7 linked regions of the Macaca mulatta genome follow. The protein of the gene in region 1 purifies or fractionates together with the protein of each later gene. This does not show direct contact. Links are inferred from orthologs where the notes say so. Each region holds a gene or a part of one and is shown in the gene's direction. Other genes may lie near its edges. The genes, in order: GDI1, RAB7A, RAB6A, RAB24, RAB31, RAB14 and RAB6B.

Region 1 (2,804 bases):
GGGCAGTAGTGATGGCTCCGAGGAGTGCCTTGTCTGCCAGAGCTGCCTGCCTTTGCTGTGAACACAGCCCCAAGACTACCTAAGGGAGTGATCTGACGGGCGAGGATTTCTGGTGCCTTCTCAGGTGGCCCGCTGCAAGCAGCTGATCTGTGACCCCAGCTACATCCCGGACCGTGTGCGGAAGGCTGGCCAGGTTATCCGCATTATCTGTATCCTTAGCCACCCCATCAAGAACACCAACGATGCCAACTCCTGCCAAATAATCATCCCCCAGAACCAGGTCAACAGGAAGTCAGGTAGGCCGGGTGCTGGTACAACTTCCTCTAGGGTGTTCTCTTTGGGGTTACCCTTTCTCTCCCCATCAGTGTCGGAGCTCCCTGCCTTACCTCTCTGGAAAAAATTTGACCCACGTTGTAGTCACCACAACTTGGACCCCTAGGGTTTGGGTGGCCTGGACTCTTCCCCTCTGGGAGGGTGGCGGCTTGGATGCTACCTGCTTTGCGGGGCTGGGGAGGGGGCAGGTGGGCCAGACTTGTGTCCAGCCACTGGAACCCATCTCTGCGTATGGCCAGCGCCTCTGGCCCGAGTTGACGGAGCTCTTCCTGTGGCCAGACATCTACGTGTGCATGATCTCCTATGCACACAACGTGGCGGCCCAGGGCAAATACATCGCCATCGCCAGCACTACTGTGGAGACCACGGACCCTGAAAAGGAGGTGGAGCCGGCTCTGGAGCTGTTGGAGCCCATTGACCAGAAGTGAGGGGCTGGGCCGAGCCCGAGAGGGAGAGGGAGGGAGCCCAGGAGCTGGGCTTAGGGACCAGGAAGGGCATGGCCCGTTGTGAGGCCTGTCCCCTCCCCTCTGTCTGCCCCTCAGGTTTGTGGCTATCAGTGACTTGTATGAGCCCATTGATGATGGTTGTGAGAGCCAGGTAAGCAGTTTGTCCCAGCCCTGGCTCCTGGCCGCCCCCCCAGGGCACCTGCCTGACTCACCCTGGGCGCTGGGCTTTGGCTGTTTCCAGGTATTCTGTTCCTGCTCCTATGATGCCACCACACACTTTGAGACAACCTGCAACGACATCAAAGACATCTACAAACGCATGGCTGGCATGGCCTTTGACTTTGAGAACATGAAGCGTAAACAGAACGACGTCTTTGGAGAAGCTGAGCAGTGATTGTGGCCGCCCCCAGCCCCTGCTGCCCCAGCCTGTGTCTGTTCTCCTAGAGGGCTCCAGCATCCTCTGCTTCCCCCACCACGTTCCCATCACCCACCTCATTGATCCACTGACCAAATCCTTAACCCTAGCGATGGTTTGGGAGATGGGGGGTTGGATAGCATCCTCTTTCTTGGCCCTTCCTTATCCTAGGAAAAGAGGGTTCCTCTCCTTGTGTGTGTCTCTTCCCCCCACCCCTAATTCTTCTGCTCTGTTCGGGAAGACGGGGAGGAAAAGGTGACTTCTGCCCCCACCGCTCTTACCCCCACTGTAGTGGCCTTTGGAGATGCCCCCACCTCCCCCCACCAACTCTTGGCGTGTTGGAGAGAAGGGGCCCTCCCAGCACAAAGTTGCATTCCTCCCCCCTAATTTATTCTAATTTATTAACTTCGACCCACCCTTTCTGAGCCTGCAGCCTTCCCGTGTGGCCTGGGGGCTGTAGAGTGAGCTGCCCCAGCCCCTCCCAGCCCTTGCCCAGCCTGGGGCAGTGGGGAAGGCTTGGGCGTGGCCCCGTTGGAGGTTGATTTGCTGTTTTGTTTCTTGTCTTTGTGTTTGTGTTCTGTGGTACTTGCTGAGAGAAAAATGTGAGCAAAGCAGAAGGAGGTGGGAAAATGGACCCAAACCCCAGTGTGCCCTGCCCGTACCTTTCCTTTAGTGGTGGGAAACCCTTATCTTGCAAAGTGAATGTGTCCCCTTCCCCACCCTCTAGTGTATTTCACAGAAAACAAAACCTCCCAATAAAACGGTTGAAACCTGAACCTCTGGATCTTTACGGTTATCTCCCAAAAGCTGGGTACCTGGCAGGGCTTTGGCTGCCTGGGTTGGGGCTCTGGCTTAGCTTCACTCTGGACTGTAAAAGGTGGCAGTCGTCAGGGAATTCCTCACCCAGAGCACGCTGGGGCCAAACTGACTTAAAGCTTAAGGCTACCAGTGAGTTAATGCTGGCACCAGGACTGCAGCCCTCAGTGCTCAATGCAGGGGGAGTGCGGTGGGGGGCGGGTGTCAACGTGGAGAAAGCAGAGGGAGCGGGGGTCTTGGCCTCTGGCTTGAGAGGGCAGAGGGGACCCGGGGCCAGCCTTGGATGGGGTGAAGCAGGGGGACAGGGGTGCCAGTTTTCGGCTTAATGCGGGGGACCAGGGCCTGGCCTCAGGCAGGGAGGCAGCACGGGGACCAGCCTTGGGGTCAACAGGAGGAATTAGAGGGACCAGGGGCCCAGCCTTGGCTCGGGTTAACGTCGAGGCAGCGCGAGGGGCTGGGGGATTCAGCCTCCGGGGTCCACAGGAGCCGGCGGTGGGGGCTGGGATGGGAGTCCATGCAGGGTAAGGGGCGGTCTCCGGCGGGGTGGGGCGGGGTGGGGCGGGGCGGGCGGCGGTTCCGCTCCGGGCCAGCTGGCGCGCGGAGGGGCGGGGTATCCGTGCGTCTCCTGGTGGCTGACGTCACGGCGCGGGCGTCAGCTGACTGTTCTGCTGCCGCCGCCGCTGCTGCTGCAGCTGAGACCCGGCTGGGCTGCTGTCGCTGTCGCCGCCGCCGCCGCTACCATGGCTCAATACAAGGGCGCCGCGAGCGAGGCCGGCCGCGCCATGCACCTGATG
Region 2 (4,119 bases), on another chromosome or scaffold:
AGGAGATCGAGACCATCCTGGCTAACATGGTGAAACCCCGTCTCTACTAAAAAATACAAAAAACTAGCCGGGCGAGGTGGCGGGCGCCTGTAGTCCCAGCTACTCGGGAGGCTGAGGCAGGAGAATGGCGTAAACCCGGGAGGCGGAACTTGCAGTGAGCCGAGATCCTGCCACTGCACTCCAGCCTGGGTGACAGAGCGAGACTCCGTCTCAAAAAAAAAAAAAAAAAAGAGGCCGGGCGCGGTGGCTCAAGCCTGTAATCCCAGCACTTTGGGAGGCCGAGACGGGCGGATCACGAGGTCAGGAGATCAAGACCATCCTGGCTAACACGGTGAAACCCCGTCTCTACTAAAAAATACAAAAAACTAGCCGGGCGAGGTAGCGGGCGCCTGTAGTCCCAGCTACTCGGGAGGCTGAGGCAGGAGAATGGCGTAAACCCGGGAGGCGGAGCTTGCAGTGAGCCGAGACCGCGCCACTGCACTCCAGCCTGGGCGACAGAGTAAGACTCCGTCTCAAAAAAAAAAAAAGAAAAGAAAAAAAGTACAAATCATAAAATGTTGAAGATTGATAATAGATTACATTAAACATCTGTATAACAAGATTCCCAGACTAACAAAAACAAACCATACAAGCAGGTGAAAAAGATGTTAATGCCTAATAATATCCAAGCAGTAGGCAACCTGGTGGATGCTAGAATATAGGGAGTTGAACAGCCTCAGGTTGATGGTAGGAGTGTAGTAATGAGTACAGCCTTTTCAGTAGAAACTGCCACTCTGTTCCCCAGTGTTGAACATACACTTATGCAGCAACAGTCTGAGTGTATGGCCTAGAGAAACTTACGTCTGGGCATGACGTCTGAGGTGTAACGAGAGTTACCATTGCAGCATTGCATGGATAGTAGTGAAAAACTGCAAGTAACTCAAATGATCTAGGAAACTAAGTGTAGTCCGTTAAGGCAATGAAATATTATATAACTGTTAACTTTTGGGAGTGAAAAAAGACAAGTTGCAAAAAGCTGTACAGAATGATACTATTTATGTAAGGTATCTCTTCAGGAGCATTTGCTTGTGGTAAAGTAGGAAGAAAATGCAATGGGGGAAGGGTTAATTCTTGGAAAAAATGGATTAAAATAACAGTGTTAATTTTGGTAACATCAGAGTATTGGGTAGATAGTTATAAGGGTATAATTTTAAATGGAGAAAACAAACCATTTTGAGACAAGCAGGTTGGCTGGTTTCCTGTTTTGATGTAGTCTAGAGAAAAAGAACAAAAGCCCCTTACTCAAGCTGTAGCTTACCTAACTTCCAGACAATCAGCAGCAAAAAAATCCCAAGAAACTGTTATCATAAGTTCCTGCTTCATGGGGCTAGGGACCTCCCTGGGGCCCCCAGCATGTGCAGTTAGACTTCAACTTATAGTTACCTTTTCCTCATTTTAATGCTAAAAATCACACCCAGGGTGGAGATTTAACCTGCTAGTGCTACACGCAATTTCTGAAGAAGCATGTTTAGCCACTGTGCATGCGGTAGAGAAACCCCTCCTATATACATACCCTGACATCACCCCTCCCCATAGGAAGGCCCTTTAAAGTTAACTCCCACACTGCTTTCAGAGAACAGCTGCCCCTTTCCTTTTGCAGTGCTAGCTCACTATGCACAAGCTAAATAAACTTTCACTTTCTCTTTGCTATTGTGTCTGATGATCTCTCTTGATTTCTGTCATGGAAGATTCCAAGAACCTAGGTCACTGTTAACAATTTCAATTAAAATATTAAAAAATTTAAAGATCACAGCCAGCCATAGGACTGTACTTGTTGATGTTTTGATAAATATGGCCTTTACTTTTGTAAATTCAAAATTAAATTAATTTTGGTAACTTTCTAGGAACCCATCAACTTGTTGACTTTTCTTTTTGAAAGTATTACTTTGCCTTCTCTGTGTATATGAGTTCCAGATGATGAATTGGTTCCACCTAACAATAACAGAGTTCTTATGTAATTCTGCTTGTAGGAGTCTTCCTGAAAAAAAGCCGTTTGAAATACAGAAAAAGCTCTCTATGCTAATGTTCATTGCTGAGTTGTTTATAATTACAGGAGATTGGCAACAATATTTTCTTAAAAACAGGAATGGATGGTTCACTAAATCTGTTGGGCAGCTGTAAAGTCCAGTGAACCTGCTCTCCCACGTCACCCCATCTGCTGTTGCCAGAGTGCCCTAGTGCGTGACGGGGTAAAGGGGAGGAACGTGGGAGAATGTGGAGAGTGTCACATGTGCAGTCTCCAGTCAGTTATTTGTGTGGAGAAAACCTCTCCACACAAATAACTAGAACAAGACATGAACTCCTTCCTGTGTGGGAGGATGCCAAGTGTTCGTATATTTGTTTGTTTGTTTGTTTGTTTGAGAATGGGGTCATTTCTCCACTGACAGAGATGCATACATATTCAGTGTAGAACATTGGAGAACCAGGAGAGCACATAAATGAGTACCACCAGCAGCCCTGATCCTGTTTAGTCTACATGTGTGGACTTCGTTTATTGTATCTGGGGAAGGGAACATTTAGTGCCCTAACCTGCTGAGAGGCAGTGGAATCATGAGAGATAAATTTGTCTTTTTTGCCCTTCATTCTTATATCTGAGTTATCATGTTTGTCTGGCTCTGTTTGAGTGCCTGTTACGGATCTAGGGCAGTAAATATACCCAGCCTTGCTCTTAAACCTAGCATGGCAGTGAATGATGTGACCAGCTTAGAGCTGGTCAGTAGTACCTGGGAGTTAATCTGGTGTGTGTTCTCATTGTCTTTCTCTTGATCTCTTTCTGTCAAGAGTTTTTCATTTGTTTTTTAATTGAGGTATAATACAAATGAAATATAACATGCTAATCTTTTTTGTTGTTTAGGCTAACTTTTCTCTCTTTTTTTGAGACAGAGTTTCGCTCTTGTCCCTCAGGCTAGAGGGTAGTGGCACGATCTCGGCTCACCACAACCTTCGCCTCCTGGGTTCGAGAGATTCTCCTGCCTCAGCCTCCCAAGTAGCTGGGATTACAGGCATGCACCACCACGCCTGACTAATTTTGTATTTTTAGTTGAGACAGGGTTTCTCCATGTTGGTCAGGCTGGTCTCAAACTCCTGACCTCAGGTTAGCCACTGTGCCTGGCTAGGCAAACTTTTCATACAGTAAAATGCATAAATGGAACTGTATCATTTGTGAGTCATCACCTCACTTCCCTGTATTTCCATTGCTCTCAGAAAGTTCCCAGAGTACCTAAGTTTTATTTACAGTTCAAATTTTACACACTTACCTAAATGTGACCACTACTTGGATCAAGATATAAGAAATTTCTAGCGCCCTGGAGATTGGACTCGTGTCACCTGCTTATAGACAGACACATACTTACATACAATATTTGTGAGGATTGTTTCGGATACTCTGGTGCTGAAATTTGCTTCCTGAAGTCTGGTGTCATTTGTCTTTGTGGGTGACCTCACAATCTAGCCCATTTCTTCTGGCATCCCCTGCATACATGCTCCTTGTGCTCTGCCTAGCACTCTCCCGAGGAATAAATGTTTTGTCTCTCACAGATATGGGACACAGCAGGACAGGAACGGTTCCAGTCTCTTGGTGTGGCCTTCTACAGAGGTGCAGACTGCTGTGTTCTGGTATTTGATGTGACTGCCCCCAACACATTCAAAACCCTAGATAGCTGGAGAGATGAGTTTCTCATCCAGGCCAGTCCCCGAGATCCTGAAAACTTCCCCTTTGTTGTGTTGGGAAACAAGATTGACCTCGAAAACAGACAAGTAAGTACCAACGATGATAGATATTGTCACAGACACTTGCTCCCAAGGGGCCTTGTGAATTTGGAGGGTTCTCTGCTAAGCTCACATGGCTCTAGGAGGTGCTGGTGGGAGTCTTCATCACCCTATGCCAGCCCTTCAGGCCAACTGCCTTTAAGGACTGGGACCCAGGTGACCTGGGTTAAGTCCCCATCCTGCTCCCAGCTGGCTGTGACTTTACGCCATTGTCTTGGCTATCTCAACTTCAGTTCCCTTTCTGCACTTTGAAGGAGGGAATTCAGTTTTGTCATTCTCAGTAGTGCCCTCCCAGTACCTCCAGGCCGTGCT
Region 3 (4,119 bases), on another chromosome or scaffold:
TTACAGGCAACAATTGGCATTGACTTTTTATCAAAAACTATGTACTTGGAGGATCGAACAGTGAGTAATATTTTCAGTGTGCAATTTTCTGCAACATTCCAGGTTAGAAAACTGCGATCAAAATAATCAATGATTGTCGCCATAAGAAGTACTTAGCAGAGTTACCAAAGAGAGTTTACAGTTGTTGAGAAAAACTCTTATTACTGAGTGAGTAGTACTTGGCAGTTATCTTGATTTGGAAAAATGAAAACAAAGAACTTTACAGAGAATTAAAGGAGAATTTTTATGAAGAAATTAAAGCTGCTAAAGACCTTCTAAATACCACTCTTGAGGCATTCAATAAGATTTCAATTTGTGAACTTCAGTATTTTTTTGTCAGGACAGGATGCATGTCAAAGTGACTGACTAAAAAGAAATAATGTGAGCTGGGTGCAGTGGCTCACACCTGTAATCCAAGCACTTTGGGAGGCTGGAGCAGGTGGATCACCTGAGGTCAGGAGTTTGAGACCAGCTTGGCCAACATGATGAAACCCCGTCTCGGTTAAAAATACAAAAAATTAGCCAGGCGTGGTGGCAGGCGCCTATAATCCCAGCTACTCGGGAGGCTGAGGCAGGAGAATCACTTGAACCCAGGAGGCGGAGGTTGCAGTGAGCCGAGATTGTGCTATTGCACTGTAGCCTGGGCAGCAAGAGTGAAACTCCGTTGCAAAAAAAAAAAAAAAAAAAGTAATGTGTATTTATTTGTTGGATTTCTTGTCTTTCGTCCTTTGGAATGTTTTCTTTAAATACAGTGTAAAATCTGTATTCTAGCCCACTACCCCTTGAAGAGATTCTTGTCACCTAAATAGTGAATATCTTACATGCAGTATTTTGAGACCTGCACCCAAAAACATTATTTTATTTCCAGTGTTATTTCTTATGTGTTTTTTTTTTTCCTGAATATTCTCTTTTATGGTTTAATATATAGCATGTCATTTCTTAAAATTTGTAAGCAGCCGGGTGCGGTGGCTCACGCCTGTAATCCCAGCACTTTGGGAGGCCGAGGTGGGCGAATCACCTGAGGTCAGGAGTTTAAGACTAGCCTGGCCAACGTGGTGAAACCCCATCTCTTCTAAAAGTACAAAAATTAGCCGGGCGTGGTGGTGGGTGTCTACAGTCCTAGCTACTCGGGAGGCTGAGGCAGGAGAATCATTTGAACCCGGGAGGCAGAGGTTGCAGTGAGCCGAGTTCACAGCACTGCACTCCGGCCTGAGCAACAAGAATGAGATTCTGTCTCAAAAAAAAAAAAAAAAATTGAAAGCTTGGAAACAACTTTCTGTCATGATGCAAGAACTTGATGCTTGTTTTCAGGCTTTTCTTCTTGTAATATAGATAGGAGATAGTACGTAAATAAATTTTTATGTAGGTCTGCAAAAAGGTATTCCTCCTTTTTTTTTGTTTTTCTGAGATGGCGTCTCGCTCTGTTGCCCAGGCTGGAGTGCAATGTTGTGATCTCGGCTCACTGCAAGCTCCGCCTCCCGGGTTCAAGCCATTCTCCTGCCTCAGCCTCCCAGGTAGCTGGGACTACAGGTGCCCGCCACCACGCCCAGCTCATTTTTATATTTTTAATAGAGACAGGGTTTCACCATGTTGGCCAGGATGGTCTCGATCTCTTGACCTTGTGATCCACCTGCCTCGGCCTCCCAAAGTGCTGGGATTACAGGCGTGAGCCACTGTGCCTGGCCCTCCTTTTTGTTACATTACACACACACACGCTCGCGCCTGTAATATAGATATGAGATAGTAGATAAATTTTTATGTAGGGCTGCAAAAAGGTCTTCCTCCTTTTTGTTACATTACACACACACACATGTGTTCTGGGGAGAAATGTATGGGACAAATACAAGCACAGTAGTTAAAGACCCAGTTTTAAAGTATTCTAGACCCAATAGGAAAGAGACACGTTTTAGCTTAAGAGAAGCTTTCAAAGAAGCATTAATTCCTTTACTCTGATAGCTTAGGCTGTTCCTTTCATTGACATTTACCTTAGTTTTTTTTTTTTTTTTTTTTTTTCTCTGTTTAACCATCAACAGTCTACTTTTTGACCCTGGAAGGCATAGGGATTAAAATAGGTTTTAGGTAGGGAAAAAGGGAAGCCATATTTCTGATTCTGTGAAACCTTTCCCAGTGGCATTTTCCAGTCATTTACCTTCGGAGTACGCAAAATTTTAATATTTCTCCCTTTTGAAAAAGGAGTTTTGTATTATTTTCATTCCTCACTCCCTGCAACCTCTTGCATGAGTCTTCTTTCTACTTCCTTCCCACCCTCTCCCTTTTAAAAAAACATTTTTTTTTCTTTTTAGTATTAGTTTCGTTTGTTTTTTTTTTTTTATTTATTTTTTCCCATCTCACAGATCAGGCTTCAGCTGTGGGATACTGCGGGTCAGGAACGTTTCCGTAGCCTCATTCCCAGTTACATCCGTGATTCTGCTGCAGCTGTAGTAGTTTACGATATCACAAGTAGGTATATTGCAACGGGTTGACCTTTCTTACTTTTCTTGCTTGTTTGACTGATTTTGTTGTTAGGTACGATTGCAGTTATGGGACACAGCAGGTCAAGAGCGGTTCAGGAGCTTGATTCCTAGCTACATTCGTGACTCCACTGTGGCAGTTGTTGTTTATGATATCACAAGTGAGTGGAGGGAATTATGCATTTCTAATCTTCTTTCAACCTTTAGCTTAGCTGCATGCATGTTCTTGTCTTGTGCTTGTTTTCCTTACTGGCATGTAAAAATAAGTTTTATCGTAGTAAATCACATATCAGCCAGGTCAGAAATATTTGCTTTGGTGTTTATACCAGTATGCTTTATATCTAACTGTGCCAGGTTTTTTGCCCCAGAAATTTTCTTTTGGGTCCAATTGTGAATCCTTTTCAAGGGTTTCTTAGTATCCTGTTATTCCTAAACCATACCATAATTATAGTTGGAGGAATGTCTCCTTTTAATTTAATTTGATCTCAGATTTCTCTAAAATAAAATAATCTGTGTTTAAGTCTCTTGCCAAGTTTTCCAAATTCTCCAAGCTTTCTATTGAGGCTATTACAAGCTTCTGCTAGCCAGCTTTTCTCTGCTTTCCCCTTCCAGCCATTCTGTCTCTGTAGAGGAAGACAGAGAAAACATAATGTATAGTTTTCTATTAATCTTTTTTATTTGAATCATATTTTGGTTCTGTGACTGATTTATTTACTTTGTTGCTAACAAATTACACTTTCATTTCTCTCCAAGAAAAAAATTTTAAATAGGAGGTGAAACAACCAGTAGTCTTTCTTTTTTCTAAAGATTGAATAATGCCTGTGGCCTTTTAAGTGACTGTAAATTTTCCATGAAGCATTGGTGACTGACAGTAAAATGCTTTCTGATTGAAATTGCCTTTGTAAATTGGTTTATGACATATATTAGGCAATATTAAACATTATTCCATATAGTGGTTCATAATTTATAGGAAAACCAGAGTCTTGAACTCCTGGGCTCAAGTGATCCTCCTGCCTCAGCCTTCCAAAGTGCTAGGATTAGGCCAGGCACAGTGGCTTACGCTGGAAATCCTCACATTTTGGGCGGCCAAGGCAGGTGGATCACCTGAGGTCAGGAGTTTGAGACCAGCCTGACCAACATGATGGAACTCCATCTCTACTGAAAATGCAAAAATAGCCAGATGTGGTGGCGCATGCCTGTAATCGCAGCAACTTGAGAGACGGGGGCAGGAAAATCTCTTGAACCTGGAAGTCAGAGGTTGCAGTGAGCTGAGATCGTGCCATTGCACTCCAGCCTGGGCAACAAGAGCAAAACTCCATCTCAGCAACAACAACAACAAAAACCAAAGTGCTAGGATTACAGGCATGAACCATTGTGCCCAGCCCAGTATCTGGGACTTTCTTTTTAGATTTTTAAAAAATGTGTACCACACTACACAGATGCAGTATCGTGGGCTAAAAAAAACTTACATAGACAAAGGAACTATTCATTTGGACTAATAAAACTGTTACTATACATTTTTGCATATCTCAATCAGGAATCATATCTAATAATGAATAATTGTGCTGGCAAAATTAGAAGATTGCGTTCAAGGATTTTTTTTTTTTAA
Region 4 (4,780 bases), on another chromosome or scaffold:
GGTCAGGAGTTCCAGACCAGCCTGGCCAACATGGTGAAACCTCGTCTGTACTAAAAATACAAAAATTAGCCAGGTGTGGTGGTGTGCGCCTGTAAACCCAGCTCCTCAAGAGGCTAAGGCACGAGAATTGCTTGAGCCTGGGAGGTGGCGGTGGCACTGAGGTGAGATGACGCCACTGCACTCCAACCTGGGCGACAGAGTGAGACTCTGTCACCAGAAAAAAAAACAAAAAACAGAAAAAAAAAAAGAAACAAAGAAAAGCACTCCCTCCCCCACTCAGCATCACTCCCGTGAGTCCAACACATATCTGTGCCCTGTACCCGATGGGAGCGACAACGAAATAAGATAGGTACCCTCCCCTACTGTATGAATGAGTCAAAAGACAGGTCCAGAGAGGATGACCAGCTGAAAAGAAGAAAATCTGAGGTCATACTCTACAGCTGTCAACCCTCAGTAACCCAGACCTGCCTCAGACCACAAAAGCTCCCTTATGGCTCTCTAGCCACATGTATCTGAGGAGCTATCTGGCTGGGAGGGGAGAAGGGGAGGTGCAGAATCACAGCAGGAGGCGTCTCACCATCAGCCGGGCGTGGTTGATGTTCCAGGTGAAGGTGGTCATGGTCTGATTCTGTGGGTCCACAATAGAGTCCTCCAGGATGTACACCGAGTGAGCAACATTGGCAGGAAACAGTCGCTCGGCCCAGCGGGGCATCCTGTTGGTCTTGGTCAGGAGTCGCCGGGACAGCAATTTCTGGTCAGGGGTCACCTCCCGGTGTACTATGTCTTCCGTCAAGACATGTTTGCTGCAGGTGTCAGGGTGAAGGTGACCCTCAGGAGCCTGCCCCTAAGAGACTGCCCGAGGGGATTCCCATTTGGAGTCTCCGGGCCTAGAGAGGCCACGCCTTCCTGTAACCTTGCAGGGTGGTAAGTGCTATGGTTCAGACCAGAGTCAAGGGCCCATCCCAGGGCAAATTCCAACTCCCGCCATCTGACTGACCTGGATTCCTGCCTTCTAGCAGCAATGGACCTCATGATTTATTACACCCCAGGAAAGCGCCATGGGAAGAGGAACAGGATTTCCAATCCCAAGATCCCTCCCAACTCCCATACTGCCGCCTCTTCTTGTCTCACCACACTGAGAAAAGAATCTTATACTAAAGTCTCAAGCAAACCACCGCCCAGGCCCAACCTCCCTTCAGGACCTTGCAGGCCTGGCCTGGCCGCTTCCCCAATAAGGTCTACGTAGGATTCGATGTCGAGTCCTTCCTGGTCCCATTACTTGGGGATTACCCATACTTCGATCTCCAAATAGCGAGATGGCGAAGTTTTGCTCTTCCAAATACCACGTACCTATAGGGATTCGGGTACCGCTGCCAGAAGGCGGCGAATACTTGGTCCCAGGAACTCCGGAGCACGCTCTGGCCCAGGAAATACTTCACCATCGTCCCGGCCGGAGCGGGCTCAGCACCCGCGCAGCATCAGGGGTGCGGAGCCTGGGAGGCACGCGGGGGCCGGGCCGGGCCGGGGCTCGGCGCACACCCGCCGCCAGGCTCGTAGCTCAATCACCACCGCACCGCGCCCAAGCAGCTGCTGCCGCCGCCGCCATAAGTTGTCCGGCCGCGCGCTACTTCCGGCGCAGTCACACTGTAGCAACCGCTTCCGGCGCCCGCGCCACGTGACCTTGCGGCCCCGCCCCCTCGCCCTCTCGCCCCCTCCCGCGGGAGTCGCGGCGCTGCGGATAGGAGCCGGGTTGCAGGAGACCCCGGGTTCGGTTGGGATTCCCAGCCAGAACGGAGCTTAAGCCGGGCAGGCGAGCGAATGACGGAGTAGCGAGCTGCACGGCGGCGTGCTGCGCTGTTGAGGACGCTGTCCCGCGCGCTTCCAGGCCGCCCCGGGGTTTGGGGTCTTCGAAAGATAATCGGCGCCCGGAGCCGAACAGCGGGGGCACACGGGGCGCTGCCGAAGTGCAAGGCCACGGCCAGAGCTCGAGCTCGACGCGCTGTCTCGAGTCGTAGGTTGGCGCCGTTTGGGGTCGGGGTCGGAGGCTTGGGCGCTGCCTGGGCCGAGCGGAGATCGGGGTTTGCCTCCCGTCCCCGCTCAGGACCCTGACGTGGCTGAAGCGGCCCCAGGAGCATGAGCGGGCAGCGCGTGGACGTCAAGGTGGTGATGCTGGGCAAGGAGTACGTGGGCAAGACAAGCCTGGTGGAGCGCTACGTGCACGACCGCTTTCTGGTGGGGCCCTATCAGAACGTAAGTGCATCCGGAGGGGCCAGGCACGGTGGGCGGAGGGGTGGGGGGGGCGGTAATCTGCACCTATGGCTCGGATCTCTTCCCTCTCGTTGCAGACCATCGGGGCCGCCTTCGTGGCCAAGGTGATGTCGGTCGGAGACCGGACTGTGACATTAGGTATTTGGGTAAGTCCCCTGGGCATCTATTCTTGGGAGACTCATTCCTGAGGAGGTGTAGGTCCTTCCTATTACTGGTTGATTTGTGGCCTCATAGACCAGTTTCCTTATCTGAAATTGCGGGTTCTGGAGAACATGGCCTTAAGTTTGACTCAAGCCTTACTCTTTAGGACACAGCAGGCTCTGAGCGCTATGAGGCCATGAGTAGAATCTACTATCGGGGTGCCAAGGCTGCCATCGTTTGCTATGGTAAGGGCGGGGGGGTTCTGGCCTGTCCCACAAGAAGAGATGGGTGCCAGGCTAGCCAGAGAACAGCCCTTGACCAGTTGGTTGTGTCTCCTGCATGCCGCACACCAAGACCTCACAGACAGCAGCAGCTTTGAGCGAGCAAAGTTCTGGGTGAAGGAACTGCGCAGCCTAGAGGAGGTAGGTGAACAGACCTCACTAGAAGACTAGGGGCTGGGGTTCTGTTGGTCTGTGGGGGTGACCCTTGTCTTCTGTCTCAGGGCTGCCAAATCTACCTTTGTGGCACCAAGAGTGACCTGCTGGAAGAAGACCGGAGGCGTCGACGTGTGGACTTCCATGACGTCCAGGACTATGCAGACAGTAGCTGCTCCTCAGCCCTTTGGGGGGGGTGGGAGTGTTTGGCTGTCTGGGTGGATCACAGAAAATAGGGACTGCCTTGGCTGCCAGGGCAAGGTGCTCTAGGAGGTCTTCCTGGCCTCCTTGAACTGTGGGGTCCAGGAGACTGCCTGAACTGCTAGCCCTCCCTTTTGTCTGTTTATCTAATTCTCAGGTATGAGGCTTTAGTCACTTCTCTTTACAGATATCAAAGCTCAGCTCTTTGAAACATCCAGCAAGACAGGCCAGAGTGTGGGTGAGTGCTGTGCTGGGGCCTCACAGCAGGAACACACAGGAGCACCAGAGGAAGCTGAATAGGGCACAGAGGGCTGGGTCACTGGGAGATCCCAGGGCTACTGGCATTGGGCCCTCACTGATCATCATTTTTCCTGCCAGACGAGCTCTTCCAGAAAGTGGCAGAGGATTACGTCAGTGTGGCTGCCTTCCAGGTGATGACAGGTGTGTGCTTCCCCAGCCTTTATGGAGACTTACTCTAGGCCCACAGCCTCTTGCCCCTTTCCTGAGTTACCTGATCCCAACAGAATGGTGCTGAGCTGCCACCTCTCTCTTTGACAGAGGACAAGGGCGTGGATCTGGGCCAGAAGCCAAACCCCTACTTCTACAGCTGTTGTCATCACTGAGTCAGCACTCACCTGGCCTGGGGGAATTAAAGGAATTCCCCAGAAGGGCTGGACCCAGCTCCTTTCTGGGCTTGGGTAGTCAAATGTCTGAGCTACCCCAGGTCCTCATGTCAGCAGAGGTGGCGCCTGCCTGTGCTGGCCCATGGAACGGAGACAGCATTGGGCTGACTGTGGGCATGAGGAGGGATAAGGGCTGATTTGGACCCCAGGCTTCTGCCCTGGACAGCACTTGTGTCTGCAGATTATTTAAGTGGCTTCTGATCTGTAAATAAAATGAATGCACTGTGAATCACACCCAGCCCCTTTCCCTGCTGTGTGGATTGGGTGTCAAGACACCTAGTTCTTTCTGGGGCCACCTGGCTGGCCTCACTGCTTATGTTAAGGCTCCTCCCAACTCTCATTTTCCTTTGGAAAACAAGACTTTTCTCCCCAGGGTTACTGAGATACTGGGGCTGGGGTAGTACAAAGCTCACAATTCCTTCTGAGTGCTGAAAAGAGTGCATGAGCTGCTTCAAAATAAAAGGGTCAAGCATTCCTACTTCAGACAGGTTGGTCTGACTGGCTCTACTGCATCTGTCATGTTTGGGACCCTATGTCAGACCTGTGACTCAGGTTCTGAACTTCCCAGTGACGTCCTACAGTGTGGTTTAATGTAGGAAAGTTCTAAGTTCTGTAAGCCAGAAAGGTCTAATGGATCCAGATTTGGTTCCAATTCAGCTGCTAATTTAGACTTAAACTCTCACCTTGAGTTTCTCATCTGTAAAATAAGGTGACTCCTGTGCAGCCCAAGCATTGTGAAGTGAAGAGTAATTCTAGTACTAAATGTTTTTCCCAATCTTCCCAAGCACTTTTTGCTGAAAGGGCAGGAAGTTCAGGACTAGGTCACAAAGGGAAGCAAGCTCCAAGTTTTCCCCAGTCTTAAGCCTTGAAGATCCAGATATTTCTGAGGAATCAGGTGTTATTGTAAACAGGGCTGACACTTGCTATTCAACCATAAGGAAATTTATTGCAGCCCTTTCCGGTATGGAGGGTGTGGCCGCAGGCCAGGGGCTTTGCCTTACAGTTTATCCTCTGCCTCTGCTTTCCTGCCTTTATTTAGGCCTGGGCTGAGTC
Region 5 (4,119 bases), on another chromosome or scaffold:
GAGGAAGCCCCACGTTGGAGAGGTGGCAGCCCTCCAGACCCGAGGCAGCTGCTGCCAAAGCTGCCCTTGCTGATTGGTCTTCATTAACGGCTCAGCAAGGGTCCTGTGATCTTTGCCAGTGTTCCCTTTCCCTCTCCTTGCCATACTTCTTTCCTTTACTGCTGCATAATTCTAATGAGATTGCCCTGGGTCGGTCAGTCATATTGGAGAAATGATGAGCAGCAGAGAAAAGAACATTCACAAGATGGTAACATTTAAAATAAAATTTGTTTTTGGCTTTTACCCAAGAGTAGATTTCATGGTCAGTAAGCCACAAGTATATATATGTGTTGATGAGGAGGAAAATGTCTTATTTAATATGAACCCTGGGGCTAGGCATAGTGGCTTAAACCTGTAATACCAGCACTTTGGGAGGCCGAGGCAGGTGGATCACCTGAGGTCAGGAGTTTGAGACCAGCCTGGCCAGCATGGTGAAACTCTGTCTCTAATAAAAATAGAAAAATGATCCAGATGTGGTGGCGCATGCCTGTAATCCTGGCTACTCCGGAGGTCAAGGCACAAGAATCGCTTGAACCCAGGAGGTGGAGGTTGCAGTGAGCCAAGATTATGCCATTGCACTCTAGTCTGAGTGACAAGAGTGAAACTCCATCTCAAAAAAATAAAATAAAATAAAGAATAACATGAACCCTGGAAAAATTAGATGGGGGAGGAATTTAGGGATCCTATAGGGATGATGTAGGATAAAACTTTTATGTTTAATTTGGGATTGAATAAAGTCTGTTCACTTTGGCCTAAAACTGTTCATTGTTCTTAAACAGTTTCATTCATTGGCTCCCATGTACTATCGAGGCTCAGCTGCAGCTGTTATCGTGTATGATATTACCAAGCAGGTAAGACTGTCTCCTTCAGAATTTAGATGTCATTTATGGTGGTTCTCTCTCTTAGAGAGACTGAAGCAAAGACGTCACTGCTTGCGTCTTCCCAGTAGCGTGCCACTATATATTGAGTTTATTTCGTGTATATGTAACAAAGCATCCCATATTTATCTGCTAAATTAAACAACAATGACCATTCATTCTTAAAATTGACTGTAGAGGCAAAGTCATGCCTGCTAGTACTATTCTGCAGAATGTCAGCTTTTAAAGAAAAGGAAAATCGTTTTTAATTTCTGCATGCTTTATAATTACAGAATACTTATTTTTGTTAGTGTTTCAATCATACCACTTACTTAAAATGCCAAGCATAACATTTGTGTGCGTGTAAGTAAATCTTTGTGTGTTTGTGTACATATAATATATTTTTAGTTATAATGTTGAAGGTTTTAGACTTCCATCAACAAATAACTGCAGTAGTTTGATGACATTTTTTCCCACTCCTGCAAATTGAATTATTTGCTTTTTTTCTCTGGAGTGTTGACTCAGCACATAAGACCATCAGTTTAATGACCCATCACTGTTACCTTCCACGAGTTCCTGACCACTTCTACCTAAATGTGGTGTGTTGCCTTTGACCTGTTTTCTAGAGGACAATTGTGAGTGAAGGGCCAACAGGAAGACAGGACTCTAGAGATATATGATTCTTTCTTGGTGTAAGCATGAGCATTTACTTAGTCCTGTTATTCTTATTCATGCGGAGTCCAGGCAATCATTTTAAATTAACATTATTTATAGGAGAAGAATCACTGATACGATTTTCTTAACTAGATCAAGTTTTAATTTTAGAAAACTTTACATGGTCTATTAAAGTGTATTTCAGCTAACATTAACTTTTGTGCCTAGACAGAGGTAGTATGTTAATCTGCATGAGTCTCCTAAAAATATTTTTCTCCATTAAATTGTACTGGGCTTGTATTTCTGCTTGGTTGAAATATTATATTGAGGGGTTTTTCTAATGATTTGTGTATACTGTTGGTTTAGGATTCATTTTATACCTTGAAGAAATGGGTCAAGGAGCTGAAAGAACATGGTCCGGAAAACATTGTAATGGCCATCGCTGGAAACAAGTGCGACCTCTCAGATATTAGGTAAGACGCATTTTAATATCTTTTGTGTAGATATTATCCTCCATCCCTGAATGTCATCCCTGAGTGTACAAAGGTATCATGCCTTTGTTATGTCTGCCCTCAGTGTAATAGTTAATGGCCTTTCACTTGTGGTAGTCAATGTGTCATTGATTCAACCAGAGAAGAAATAAGGGAAAATGATAGGGAAATGCAATTCTGGTGTACCATACAATGATAAATGTTAAAATTATAATTCCTGTACATAACACAGTTACATCCCTGACTCTACATATCTCTGGGCTAAACGGTTTTATTATTTCTGTTGTTACTTTTTCCATTTTTATTATCATTATGACTACTAGCACAATTTTAGTAACACTATGGTAATGGTCATCCCTATCGTAATGACCATTAGAATTCTTAAAATTTTTCATGGCATACCTGTTTGTTTTAGTTCTAGATTTTACCTTAAGAATATAGTCAAGTACGTAATCTCACTATTTTGTTCTTAAATCAGAATATGACACATTGTATGTGAGTACCTTGACTTCCCCCAGTGGTACTGGGTTATTGAACTTCCCGTATCTGAAAGGAGGTTGTGGGGATCCAGTACACATGAATTAGAGATTTGATGATAGCTTTGCCTAGCCTGGTAAGCTAGCTATTTTACTAAATAAATACATTGTTTAAAAAAGGAAATAGTGAATTTGTGGTATCTCCATTCTCTCGGTTAATTTAATTCTCAGGAATTCTAGTAGCTGATTTTTATAAAGACAACTACATCATGCTTCTGGTTTTGCTGATCAAAATGTGATTAAACCAAAGCGAAATAAATAGTCGATGGAAATGGATCTTGCAAAAGCTCTTAACATAGCATTTAACAAATTGTTCTGTTTCTTTGGGATTTCAAAAGTTTGTATCACCTTGCATCTGGTTGGTTTATAATAACAGCCATAAACACCACTTAATCGTTTATTTTTCTGGGATTTGGACAGATCTTCAGACTTCCCAGACTTAGTTCAGATATCCACCTCCTTTACTGTAAACCTCAAACAGCTTGCTTGTCTAGTGTTCCCAGCAGAATCACCTTAACCTTGGTCATGGGAAGGATGAGGTGGGTGTGTAGAGACAACCTTTGCTGAGAGAAGGTGCTATCTCTAAAACCCCCTAATTATGGGACTAATGTGCACCTTTGAGTGGAACCAAGTTTTGTGTATCGTGGGAATGCTGATGGACTAGAATTTAAGCAGAGAACGATTTAAACTTGCATAGTATCAGTTAGGATTCTTGGTTACGTGGATCCAAAACACAATTGAAATTCAGGAGAAAGGGGAATTATTGGAAGGTACTGTTATCCACATGGTAAAAACAGAACTGCCCTCAGCTCTGGCATTTGACATGTTCCAGAGTTAGTCTCTGGAGAGATGCTGGCCTGGCATTGTCTTCATTTCCAGTCTAAAATGCCAGGGAGGAACTCCCCACGTTAAGAACAGGCGTGTGTGGCCAGGAGGGGATTGGTAGTACGAGATGGTATTTCCCAACATTACTATGAGAATGGGAAGGCAGGTGGTCTTGAAGAGGGATAGCTCCTAGAAAAGTGTAGCCTGGCCAGACAAAACTTATCTGTGACATATAGATGTGGCTACCAGCACTCAAGGATACGCTGTGTTTCGGGGTGGAATTCACCTTTTATGCACAGGTACAGCATTCTTCTTGATGAGCGTTCTGATTTGTGCTCAGCTGATTCTTATATGTGCAATTTTCAATGTGCCCCAGCTAACATAATCTATTCATCTCACTTCCAACTGTGAATTAACTTACAGCCTCTCTATCCCAGTGGGAGAAAATGCAGGGCCATCCAGCTGCTACCTGTAGTGGTAGTGTCATGGGGCCACTGTCCCATGCATCCAGCCTCCTTGGTAATATCTTTTCTCCTCTTGTTTGGCCTCAGTGAGGTCTGAATGTGGCTCCTTGAGATCCTGTAGTTGTGTTTTAAAGTGTGGCATGTATATCTTTTGTTATACACAGTTATTTTAGATGGTACGTGTTATTGAATCAGGCAACAAGAAGCTGACTGCCTTTAAAACTCTGATTAGGTCAGTGAGAAAGACTAGTTG
Region 6 (4,802 bases), on another chromosome or scaffold:
GCGGCGCGACGAGTCCAGAGGTGAGGGCTGAGGAAGGGGCGTGGCTAACGGGTTGGCCTCGGCCACCCTCTTCCGGGCTCCGCCAGCTGCGCGCGCATCTTCTCCCCCTTCTTTTGTGGTCCGGCCCATTGCGAGGGTGACAGGAAACCCTGTGCAGGGAGCGCCGCCATCTTGGACCAGCCCGAGGAAGATCCTGAGGGAGCCGCAGGAGCAGTCACCGCTGCCACCGGTACTGCCGCTACTGCCGCCGGCGCGTCTGCACCTCTCGGCCTGCCCGCGTACTTGCCGGGGCCTCGGCCGACCGCCCCCGCCCCCTCTCCCGCTGCGTTCGCACTCCTGTTCCTCGTCCTGACGCCCCCCTCCCGCCCGGAAAGCTGCCCAGCCACCAGCAACCCCCCAGGTAACCCGGGCCTTCCGCAGTGTCCGGCCGGCTGATGCCTCCTCGCGCCGGGCTCTTCAGAGGGGCGGGTGTGGCGACGGCGGAGACAGGGCTGCAGGCGGGCGGCGCCCCAGGGGCCAGGCCCCGTCAGGCCGCGGCGATCCCGGGGGTCGGCGGTGAGCGCCGCGGCGCCGGCCTGACAGGACTCCCGGGCGGGGGCGGAGGTGTCCCCTGCGTGGCTCCTGCCTGAGCCTCCTGCCCACCCCGCCCCGCGGGGCGCTCCGAGGCGTGCAGGGAAGGGTGTGTTCCGGCCTCGCCTTCCGCGCGTTCTCGGCTCGGCTGGGCAGGACCGCATCTCTCGCAGGCCCCCCTCTCGCCGCTGTTCTCCGCGGCCGCAGCCCGCCCCCGCAGGGTGTACCCACGCGTGCCGCGCCGCCCTGCAGCCCTCGAGCCCCAGACGTGGCGGTCCCGTCCCGTAGGCCGCGTCTGGCTCTGAGTACAAAGGCAGCTCTTCGCAGCCTCCTCGGCATCTCGGGGCAACTCCGGTGCCCTTGTCGATGTGGGGAGTCTGGCCCTGCAGCCGGGCCAGGGACGGGGTCTGTGCGCCTGTGCTTGCGATGTCCTGGTTTTGGTGCGTTCCTATGAGACGCGTGGACAGCCTCTATGGCCCTGAAGCTACAGAGCATCTAGAAACAATGAAGAGAAAGTTGTGGCATTTCTAGAATCTAAGAGAAGACGACAGAACTGGAGTGTTTTAAGCGTTTTAACTGTGGGCCAGGTACATACTTAGGTGTCTTTGTACGTGTTTATCTTGTCCCGTGTAGCCCTCGGAGGTAAGTTGTCTCCACTTTATAAGTGAGGAAACTGAGGCCTACAGTTGTGATGTGTGTCTGGCTGATGATGGTATATTACAAACTGGCTTCGGCTCACACTGTGGCTGGTGGTTTTTGTACTACACTCAAAAATTAGGCTACGGTTACAGGCATGACCATTTATAATGTAGTTATAATTCCTTTTTCACTGTGTTCGCATTGGATGACAGCTGATTACCCCTTTATGACCTAAAGTCCATAAAGTCAGCCACTACACTGGCAAATCCTCATGCTCGCAAACCCCAAAGGAGAGATGCCAGGATTTCAATTTCGTGTATGAAGAAACGGGTTCCGAGAGGACAGGTGCCTTCCTGGTGACCCCACAGCAAGTGTCAGAGCCCAGATTTGAACTCTTGCAAAGTTTACTGCTCATTTCGTTACTATCCCAACTGCCTTTAAAAAATTCGTATATTTTTCTAAGGTAAATATTGTAGAGGAACCAGCTGTCTTTTATTTAGATTTGATTGTTGAGGATAAATTTGACCTTGCAGTAATCCAGCTCCCACCCCTTTATTCCCCACAAGCCTTTCCAAATTTTTTCTTCCAAGTTCTGTTTAGGCAGTTTTACTTGATCATGCCTAGAGGTATGTCGTGGTTAAGAGTTTTGGAGTCATACTGTCAAGGGTTCCCCCTCCATTACTGCCACTTCCTAGTTAAGTGATCTTAAGCAAGTTACTTAACCTTTCGGACTCAGTGTCCTTATCTATAAAGGGGATAATTGAACCTGCATCTTAGAGTTGTTGCTAGGATTAAATGGGGTTTAAAGAAAGCCCTTAGCACGTTGCTTGGCATATAGTAAATCAGTGCCTGTAACAGTGCTAGGCACATAGTGGGTGTTTAATATCTTTTGAATGAATGAGAGAGGAGCATAACTTTGGAGAGCTACATGTAGAGTTAAACCTGGACCTTAATTCTAGCTCTCCATTTAGTAGTACTATGACCACGGGTAGATCACTTTGGTTTCCTTATTTGTAAAATGAGTTTTTAGGATTAGAGTTTGTTTATAAAGTAGCTGGCATGTGTTAGGCCCTCGATAAATGGCAGTTATTGTAAAGACGTAAAACCTTAGATTATAATAGCTATTTAAAAATTCCTTGAAATTAAAGCTACATTTTAAAAAGTTGTTGCTTTTTTGTATTACAGTTAAACTTTATCATTGTTGCATACTTCAACTTTGCAACAGAATTTGGAGTGTTCATTTTTATCAATGTCAAATATCTTTGCATAGTCACAGTAAGATACTGTGCTAGTGGAGGAAACTTGATTAAGGTAAATAAAATGTTAAAACTCGGGCTATTGAGAGATGTTTCATGTTTTTTTAAAAAAGGCTTGAAACATTTTTATGTGGTTAAAAATGCTAGGCATGGCTAAAGACAGCAGTTTACAAATAGAAGCATTAGAGGTACTGTACTTTTAAGAAGCTTCATCTAGACAATTTTAAATATATACAAAATAAAGTAGCATACTGAGCATTCATATACCTATCAGCCAGTGTCAACAGTGATCAGTCTTGCTTCATCTATATACACTTGCCTCCTCCCTGCCAAATTATTTTGAAGCAAATCTCAGACACAGTATCATTAGTAAAATTTTCACTATTAATCCTTTTAACTTTAGCAATAAGTGCAGGGTTTTTTTTTTTTTTGCTTTTTGGGTGTTAAGTGCTTTCTTTCTGTGAACAGAGGTCCAGTATTAGAATACTTTATTTTCTGTATATAGAAGATCATCAAAGTTACTTCTCTTGCCACATTAAGCAATCCAGCTTTTTAAAATCATTATTTATATAAAAGTGACATTAAGTATATTGTCAAAAGTTAGATTTATTTTTTTTAAGTGGGTGGGCTGTTTGTACTATTGTTGAGGAAATTGACCACTCGTTTTTATTAGGTTAGATTATTAGATTAACTACAGAAGTTTTATCCACGTGACTGACAAATCAGGTAGTAGTAGTCCATTTTAGTGGGCCTTTAGAGCAAGTCAGAATGCTTCTGTTCTTGAGTTCCACGAAGGCAGAGACAGTGTTGTCTTTTTTGATCATTGCTATCTTGCCAAAGCCTGGCACAGTGCTTTGTGCTTAGTAGATACTTAACAGATACGTTCATGTTGGAATCACAGAAGCAGTCCATCTCAGCTCTGGTATTTTTAACAAAACATCATGCATGTTAAACAAACAAATAAACAAAACTTATCAATGGAAATAAGGATAAGAATTAAATCACCTGGAATATTTAGTGGGTTGCTTTTCCCTTGTTATGTCTTGGATCAACTATGTAAAAGTTATACAGTAACATCGTTGGTTCTAAGGAGTAGAATAGCTATATAACAGGTTTTAAAATCAGAGCAAACAATAAGTAGTTCAGCTATTTAAAAAAAAAAACCAAAAATATGCCCTCTACTATTGAGTGTTGGTTTTTTTTGTTTTGAGGCCAATCGTATTATTGGCTTCATAAGTTCCCCTTATTATCAGTAAATGTGGAAATAATGTTGGGAATGTTATGAGTGGGAGTTTTGTTTGTTTTTGTTTGGGTATTCTTTAACCTGTATTAAAATTACATAGAAAGTGCTTTTCACGTATTTATTGGTAGAGAAAATTTTATTTTTAATTCATTGTAATAAGTCAGTGCAGGGATCTATAAAGAAAAGTTAATACTTTCTCTCTTCCCTTTTTCTCCTGTCCGTGTATTTTTCACAATTTGATTTGTATTTCATCGTATATGAATATAGGGTTGAGTGTGTGTGTGTGTTTGAAAGTGGGGTATGCTATCGCATAAAACTCTGCAACGTGTTTTTTCACTTAGCAAAATCATGGAGGTATTTCCAGGTTAATGCATATCGATCAAAATGGTTTCTAAACTAGATGGATATTATTTTGTAGTACAGATGTACTTTATTCAGTCATTTCCTTGCTGATAGATTATTTCCAGTTTTTTGCTGTAAAAATGGTACATTAAATGCGCTAATACCTGTAGCCTTATGGACTGAAGCTTTTGTATATGTAGGATACTTCTAAGTGGATATCTGAGCCAAAGGATGATTTGGATTATTGTTAAGATTTTTAAATATACTGATTACTTTCCAAAATGTTGGCACATTTCCACAAGCAGTATGTTTGGTAGTGTATACCTTCACATCTGTACCTACATGTTTCAAAACTAGTCGTTTATATGTCTGTGTAATCTTAGAAAGGTGTCGATTCAGTAAATAGAAACCATGCATTCTATTTTTGTCACAACAATAATTAGTGTTTAATATGTGTTCAGTAACCATTTAGATCTAAATGTACTGACATGAAAATGTGTCTGATTTTGTTGAGTGAAAAAAATATGCAGAATTTTACAAGATGGCATACCCCATTTTAAAATACATTTTTCACCTTAACAGTGGTGAAAATGGTGGTAAAAAATGGTATGTTTTCACGTGGTGAAATGATATGTTTCCACAATGGCGAAAACTGGTAGTTGCATGTTCAGGAGATGAGGTTGAGAAATCCTTTATTAAAACAATATTAAGCATATTAATATCTTTAAGGAGTCAGTTGAATACATGGCACA
Region 7 (4,823 bases), on another chromosome or scaffold:
GCGTCTGGAGGGTTACCCTGAGCCTGGTGCCAGCCACAATGGGGCAGATATTCTAGGTGATGACTTACAACCCTTGACGTTCCAAACTAAAGGTGATTATGAGAATAGGAGTTATTTTGATTTGAGTTCTAGATGTTCATTGGAACATTCAACAACTATTTCTTAAACTCTGAGCTATGTCCTCAGGACGACTGCTTTTATGGAACTTGCGGGCAAGTTTTTAACAAGAAATAGAAGAGAGATTCGAGGTGAGCACACCAGGGAGACAGACAGGCTTGCCCAAGCAAGCCCCATCAGTCAAAAAGTGGGTAACAAGTGTCCGAGAAATCTGGAGATGAAGGTTGTGTCTCACTCCTCTTTCTCTTTGTATAACACATGCGTGCACACACCATCGTGTTCACCAACATGCAGACTATTATCTCAAATAAATGCTCACTGAACAGCCATAAACGAACAAGACCGCGCTGTGGCAGAAGAGTAAGGGGCAGCTTTGTCAAACCTCAATTAACCAGCATGCCTTAGGCTCGGGCTGTCCTGGGAGTGTTTCTAGCGCTTGGCTTCTGCTCTTTGCTCTTACCCACTCACAGCTTGGTCTGCGTGCCTTGATGGACCAGGCGAGTAGAGGCCAAGGAGAGGTCACCCACGTGTCCTCAGAGAGCTCATTGTCCAGATACACGTAATTGCCAGGGTGGGGAGTGGCGTTGTCAGCCTGGCGACCCCAGGATCAAGAAACGCAGGGCACTGCACTGTCCTGGAGATAGTGGCACTGGCATTCAGAGTGTCACCGTTCCTTCTCTCCCATGGGGCAGGTTATGATTTAGCATAAAATGATCCAAATGAACAGCTGGTTTGAGGTAGGCGCGCCCTATATTGGCAGCTCTTCTCTCGCTGGCCAGGTCTGCGGGGGCACCCACAGACCCCACAAGAGGCCGCCCAAATAAACGGTCTAGGCCTCAAGAGGGGAGGGCGGGCTAGAAGCCACACGGGGCAAGAGTCGAGCTCCATCTGCGCCAAGTACGCCAGGTTTCCCTAGGTCTGCCCGCCCTGAAGCGCCTCGCCACACCCTGGCTCTCCCCCACCTTCGTTCCTTTCCGCCCTGTCGGACGACTGCGCTGTGCATCGGTGTCTCGCGAGGTGGAGGAAGGGACTGGCATCTAGGTTTAAAAGACCAGAAACAAAAGTCCCCTGACAATTTCGTGTCATTTTCTGGATTCGAAAGAGGGGTAGAGTGAGAAAGACGCAGCGGGGCAGTGAGAGACGGTCCGACCCGGGGGCCTCTCAGGGGTACAGCGAGGAGGTTCTCTCCTGCCCGGGTGCGGGCTCGGGTGGGCGGGCGCACGCCCCCCAGCCCCGCAGCGCCGCGGGCCCCGCATGACATCAGAGGCTGGGGAGAGCGCAGAGCGCAGGCGCCGGCAGAGGAGGGAGGCGGGAGGGGGCCGACTGGCGCGGCTCTAGAGAGCGCTCCTCCGCCCCGCGCGCCGTCCCTGCGCGCCGTCCCTGCGCCCCGCTCCGCCCGCGCCTCTCTCCCAACGCCGCGCCTCGGGCGTAAAGAGCGCGCCCCTCGCACCGCAGCCAGTGCCGCCCGCAGCAGCCCAGCCCCAGCCTTCCTCCGCCTACTCCTCCCTCTCCTCCTCCTCCGCCGCCGCCGGACACGCAGCCGCAGGCCGGGGCCGGGACGCAGCTGGGGAGTCAGGGACGCGCACAGCCAGCCCTTCCCCCTCCGGCTCCCGCACCGCCGGCCGCCTCCCCTCGCCCTCCTCCTCTCCCCTCCCTGCTCCTTCGCTTTTTCCTCCTCCTCTCCCGGCCCCGGCTGCCACCACCATGTCCGCAGGGGGAGATTTTGGGAATCCACTGAGAAAATTCAAGTTGGTGTTCCTAGGGGAGCAGAGCGGTAAGTACCCGGCTTAATCTCTTGGCTTGTCGCCGAGTCGACCCCCGTCGCCCAAGCGCCCACCCCATTGGGACCACCGGCCGCGGCTCGGAAAGGCCTCTCCGTGTCAGGATAGAGGAGAGGGACAGGGATGGGGAGGTCGGGGCCGGCTCGGGCGGGGTCGGACTGGGGAGGGGTCAAGGGTGAGGACGGAGGAGGTGCTGGCGCCCGGGGTGGAGGTGAGGGTGGGCTCTGGGTGGGGGGCCCGGGGTGCGGGTGCAGGTGCGGCGCCGCAGGGAGCTCGGAGGGCGGCGGCTGGCTCCGCCGCGCGGACCAGGGCGTGAAGGACCCGGGCTCGCTGGCTAGCTCACACTGCGGCACCGGCTGCGGGCGACCGCGCAGGTGGCTGGGTGCTGCCGGGGGTGGGGAGAGCGACGGGCGCCCCCCTTGGAGAACGAAGCGAAACTGGGGTCTGGCCGACCCCCACTCCGCTGCACTGGAGGGGGGTTCCCTGCGGACTCTGCCGGTAACCATGCGAAAGGGCACGTCCAGGCGCTGGGACAAATAGCCACCGGGGAGAAAAGACCGGCACCTGTCTCTGTTCCAAAGAGCGAGTGCAGGCCATGAGGGAACGGGGCGCCTACCTCCCCTATCTCACGTCCGACTGGGCACAGAAGGTTCTAGACCCGGTGCCCTTCGCCAGCGCTCGGTAGCCTCCTTGCTGTTCAGGGGTCTTGGCAATGACAGTGAAGGCTACCCCAACTCGAGGCGATTTGGGGAATGATACAGGGGCAGCTCACACCGAGAGGCTGTGAAGTCTCGCTCTGGGCAGAGAAAGGCCCAGGCGACACGCCCTGCCTTGCTTCCCAGCACTCCTCCTGAGAGCATCGGTGGATTCTTCCCACCCCCACCTCCCAGCTCACCGCCCTTCTTGGGGGAGGGGAGGTCACCGTGGCAGCCGGCCAGAGCTGGGGGAGGGGGAGACTGCTTCTCTGCTGCCTGGCTCCCTCCCCAGGAAAACATCTCTGAAAACCAGCTTGGTCCCGAGGCGGGAAGCCCAGATTGAAGAGCAGGGACCCCTCTGCCACCTGTAGGAAGGAGTGGCTTTCGGAGCATCCTTCCAGAGGCCTCTCGAATGGGGCTGCAGGGAGACAAACTGAGCTCTGGTCAGCTCTGCTCTGGGAGAAGGCTGTCCTTGCCGAGCAGGACCCCAGAAGGCTGTCCTTGTCGGGCAGGACCCCAGCTCTGGCTCTGCAGACCCTCTCTGACAAGGGGGTCCAAAAGAAAGGCAACTGTGGGAGGATTGGGTGGGCCATGAACAGTGCTGCTGTGCTGTGTGTACATGAGGGTTATGGAGGTCATGTGACTGGCCCCTGTCTGCTGATGCTCATTGCCTGAGATGGATGATTCAGAGAAGGACGTTAGAAGGTAGTGTCCAGGCCCAATATGGAGATGGGTTTGGGGGCCAGGTTGGGTGTTTCAGAAGATCCTCTCAGCCAGCCAGCATTTGCCTTGGATTCTGATTGCCTGTTTTAGTAGATCCCAGTTTCATGGAGCTGACCATTCCCTGTGTCTGGAAGGGATTTTGGTGGTATTCACATCCCAGTGCTAGTCTCACCGGGCCTGGAGCCCTGGGAGATAACCTGTGGGGATCAGGCAGCCTGGGAGTTGAATTCTTAGCTGTGTTGCCTTTAGTAAAATTTGAGGCCTCTCTGTGACTCACTTTCTGTCTCTGAAAAATGGTTGCTTGAAGACAATTCTTTTACTTCTTCATGTTTCCTTAGTGCCTCTCAAAGTGCCTGGACCCTGGTAGGTTCTCAACAAACATTTGATTATTCTAAGTCTGCAAAAGCTTTAGAAAGGACTAGGAGTTTGGTGAATAAAGTGTCTCTGGTGAATTTGAGGGAACATTCTAGGCTCCCTCAGAATTCCTGATGAACAGAGACCCCTGCTGGGCTCCACAGACCCCCTTTGCTCCCAGAAGCACAGAAATGATAGCTGAAGTCTAAGAAATGAACCCACCACCTCTCCCACATGTTCAAATGGGAAGTCTGAGCCCCAGGGAACAGGGAGGCCTTGCCCAGAGTCCCAGAGTCCCATTGTGAGTTGCTAATACTTCTGGGCTGGAGCCTCACCTCTCGTTTCCAGTCCAATATTTTTCACTAGCGTGTCATTGTGAAGTAAGATGACCTTGAATTGGGGAAGCCAACAACTGGGGAGCCTCCCCAAGAGGGAGTTGGGTTGCTTCTGTACGGCCAGGCTTATAGCTGGGGCCTGTGACTGATAGGAATGCTGAGTAGTTGGTCAGGAGCAGGGTTGTGGGCCCTTGGAACATGGTCATTAGAGAATCACTGCTGTCAGTGAGATGGCTACTGGCATCTCACCTGGTGCCTTCTGTCAGGGAGTTCCAAGGCCCCGAATAGCCTGTTTCCTGTTTCCACTTTGTTGCATCGTTAGTGGGTTGTTTTAGGTTTTACAGAGCTTTTGAGTTAGGTAGGGGACATGTGCGTCTCTAAGCCTTATGGGATGGGGAGTCACCTCCCCAGCCGCTTCTTCTACCTTGCCTGCACAGTTTTGCATCTGTTGGTCATTTGTGCCAGCATTCTCTGCAGCCTGTGCAGTGGAGAGAGCCTCCTGAGGGCTGGCCCTCATGCTGGCCCTGGCTCTTTTTATATGACCTCAGAGTTCCTTTACCTTCTGTACATGGGGGACTTGGGCCCGCTGAGCTCAGCAGAATCTTTCAGAGCAACATGGGCTTGCCGATATGAGCCGAGTCCCCTGGAGATGGGCCAGGGGAAGGAGCTAGAGGGATGTGGCTTTATCTTATTTCCTGTGCCTAGCATAATGGTGACTTTTCTCTAGGCTGGTGGGCAACGGCAGTGGATTTCCAAGAAGAGCGGCGTGCATGGACCAGGGGGTGGAGCACACCCTGGGCCAGATAATCCCGGGTGGA

Evidence for each region.
Region 2: the proteins of GDI1 (region 1) and RAB7A purify together in Homo sapiens (affinity purification with mass spectrometry; 4 studies listed by BioGRID and IntAct, counting the BioPlex papers as one, with this or other methods). This does not show direct contact. The link is inferred for Macaca mulatta from reciprocal best matches to the Homo sapiens genes GDI1 and RAB7A.
Region 3: the proteins of GDI1 (region 1) and RAB6A purify together in Homo sapiens (affinity purification with mass spectrometry; 3 studies listed by BioGRID and IntAct, counting the BioPlex papers as one, with this or other methods). This does not show direct contact. The link is inferred for Macaca mulatta from reciprocal best matches to the Homo sapiens genes GDI1 and RAB6A.
Region 4: the proteins of GDI1 (region 1) and RAB24 purify together in Homo sapiens (affinity purification with mass spectrometry; 3 studies listed by BioGRID and IntAct, counting the BioPlex papers as one, with this or other methods). This does not show direct contact. The link is inferred for Macaca mulatta from reciprocal best matches to the Homo sapiens genes GDI1 and RAB24.
Region 5: the proteins of GDI1 (region 1) and RAB31 purify together in Homo sapiens (co-immunoprecipitation; 3 studies listed by BioGRID and IntAct, counting the BioPlex papers as one, with this or other methods). This does not show direct contact. The link is inferred for Macaca mulatta from reciprocal best matches to the Homo sapiens genes GDI1 and RAB31.
Region 6: the proteins of GDI1 (region 1) and RAB14 purify together in Homo sapiens (affinity purification with mass spectrometry; 3 studies listed by BioGRID and IntAct, counting the BioPlex papers as one, with this or other methods). This does not show direct contact. The link is inferred for Macaca mulatta from reciprocal best matches to the Homo sapiens genes GDI1 and RAB14.
Region 7: the proteins of GDI1 (region 1) and RAB6B purify together in Homo sapiens (co-immunoprecipitation; 3 studies listed by BioGRID and IntAct, counting the BioPlex papers as one, with this or other methods). This does not show direct contact. The link is inferred for Macaca mulatta from reciprocal best matches to the Homo sapiens genes GDI1 and RAB6B.

What each region holds. Positions count from the first base shown.
Region 1 is NC_133426.1:160,625,319-160,628,122, forward strand, and holds the end of GDI1 (rab GDP dissociation inhibitor alpha), read left to right. Parts: intron 1-124; coding exon 125-296; intron 297-612; coding exon 613-757; intron 758-875; coding exon 876-930; intron 931-1,020; coding exon 1,021-1,173; 3' UTR 1,174-1,970; downstream 1,971-2,804. Other genes in the region: protein FAM50A, read left to right, coding at 2,751-2,804. UniProt on the Homo sapiens protein: Regulates the GDP/GTP exchange reaction of most Rab proteins by inhibiting the dissociation of GDP from them, and the subsequent binding of GTP to them. Promotes the dissociation of GDP-bound Rab proteins from the membrane and inhibits their activation.
Region 2 is NC_133407.1:155,150,807-155,154,925, reverse strand, and holds part of RAB7A (ras-related protein Rab-7a), read left to right. Parts: intron 1-3,576; coding exon 3,577-3,795; intron 3,796-4,119.
Region 3 is NC_133419.1:74,102,115-74,106,233, reverse strand, and holds part of RAB6A (ras-related protein Rab-6A), read left to right. Parts: intron 1-6; coding exon 7-60; intron 61-2,393; coding exon 2,394-2,499; intron 2,500-2,565; coding exon of another isoform or gene 2,566-2,671; intron 2,672-4,119. UniProt on the Homo sapiens protein: The small GTPases Rab are key regulators of intracellular membrane trafficking, from the formation of transport vesicles to their fusion with membranes.
Region 4 is NC_133411.1:186,278,031-186,282,810, reverse strand, and holds RAB24 (ras-related protein Rab-24), read left to right. Parts: upstream 1-1,702; 5' UTR 1,703-2,011; exon of another isoform or gene 2,012-2,015; intron 2,016-2,101; 5' UTR 2,102-2,133; coding exon 2,134-2,250; intron 2,251-2,345; coding exon 2,346-2,414; intron 2,415-2,575; coding exon 2,576-2,654; intron 2,655-2,763; coding exon 2,764-2,831; intron 2,832-2,911; coding exon 2,912-3,011; intron 3,012-3,231; coding exon 3,232-3,282; intron 3,283-3,422; coding exon 3,423-3,485; intron 3,486-3,602; coding exon 3,603-3,667; 3' UTR 3,668-3,961; downstream 3,962-4,780. Other genes in the region: PRELID1 (PRELI domain-containing protein 1, mitochondrial), read right to left, coding at 578-803, 1,351-1,442.
Region 5 is NC_133423.1:80,777,204-80,781,322, forward strand, and holds part of RAB31 (ras-related protein Rab-31), read left to right. Parts: intron 1-818; coding exon 819-890; intron 891-1,916; coding exon 1,917-2,023; intron 2,024-4,119. UniProt on the Homo sapiens protein: The small GTPases Rab are key regulators of intracellular membrane trafficking, from the formation of transport vesicles to their fusion with membranes.
Region 6 is NC_133420.1:36,999,655-37,004,456, forward strand, and holds the start of RAB14 (ras-related protein Rab-14), read left to right. Parts: upstream 1-1,486; 5' UTR 1,487-1,672; intron 1,673-4,802.
Region 7 is NC_133407.1:36,936,364-36,941,186, reverse strand, and holds the start of RAB6B (ras-related protein Rab-6B), read left to right. Parts: upstream 1-1,639; 5' UTR 1,640-1,821; coding exon 1,822-1,891; intron 1,892-4,823. UniProt on the Homo sapiens protein: The small GTPases Rab are key regulators of intracellular membrane trafficking, from the formation of transport vesicles to their fusion with membranes. Rabs cycle between active GTP-bound and inactive GDP-bound states.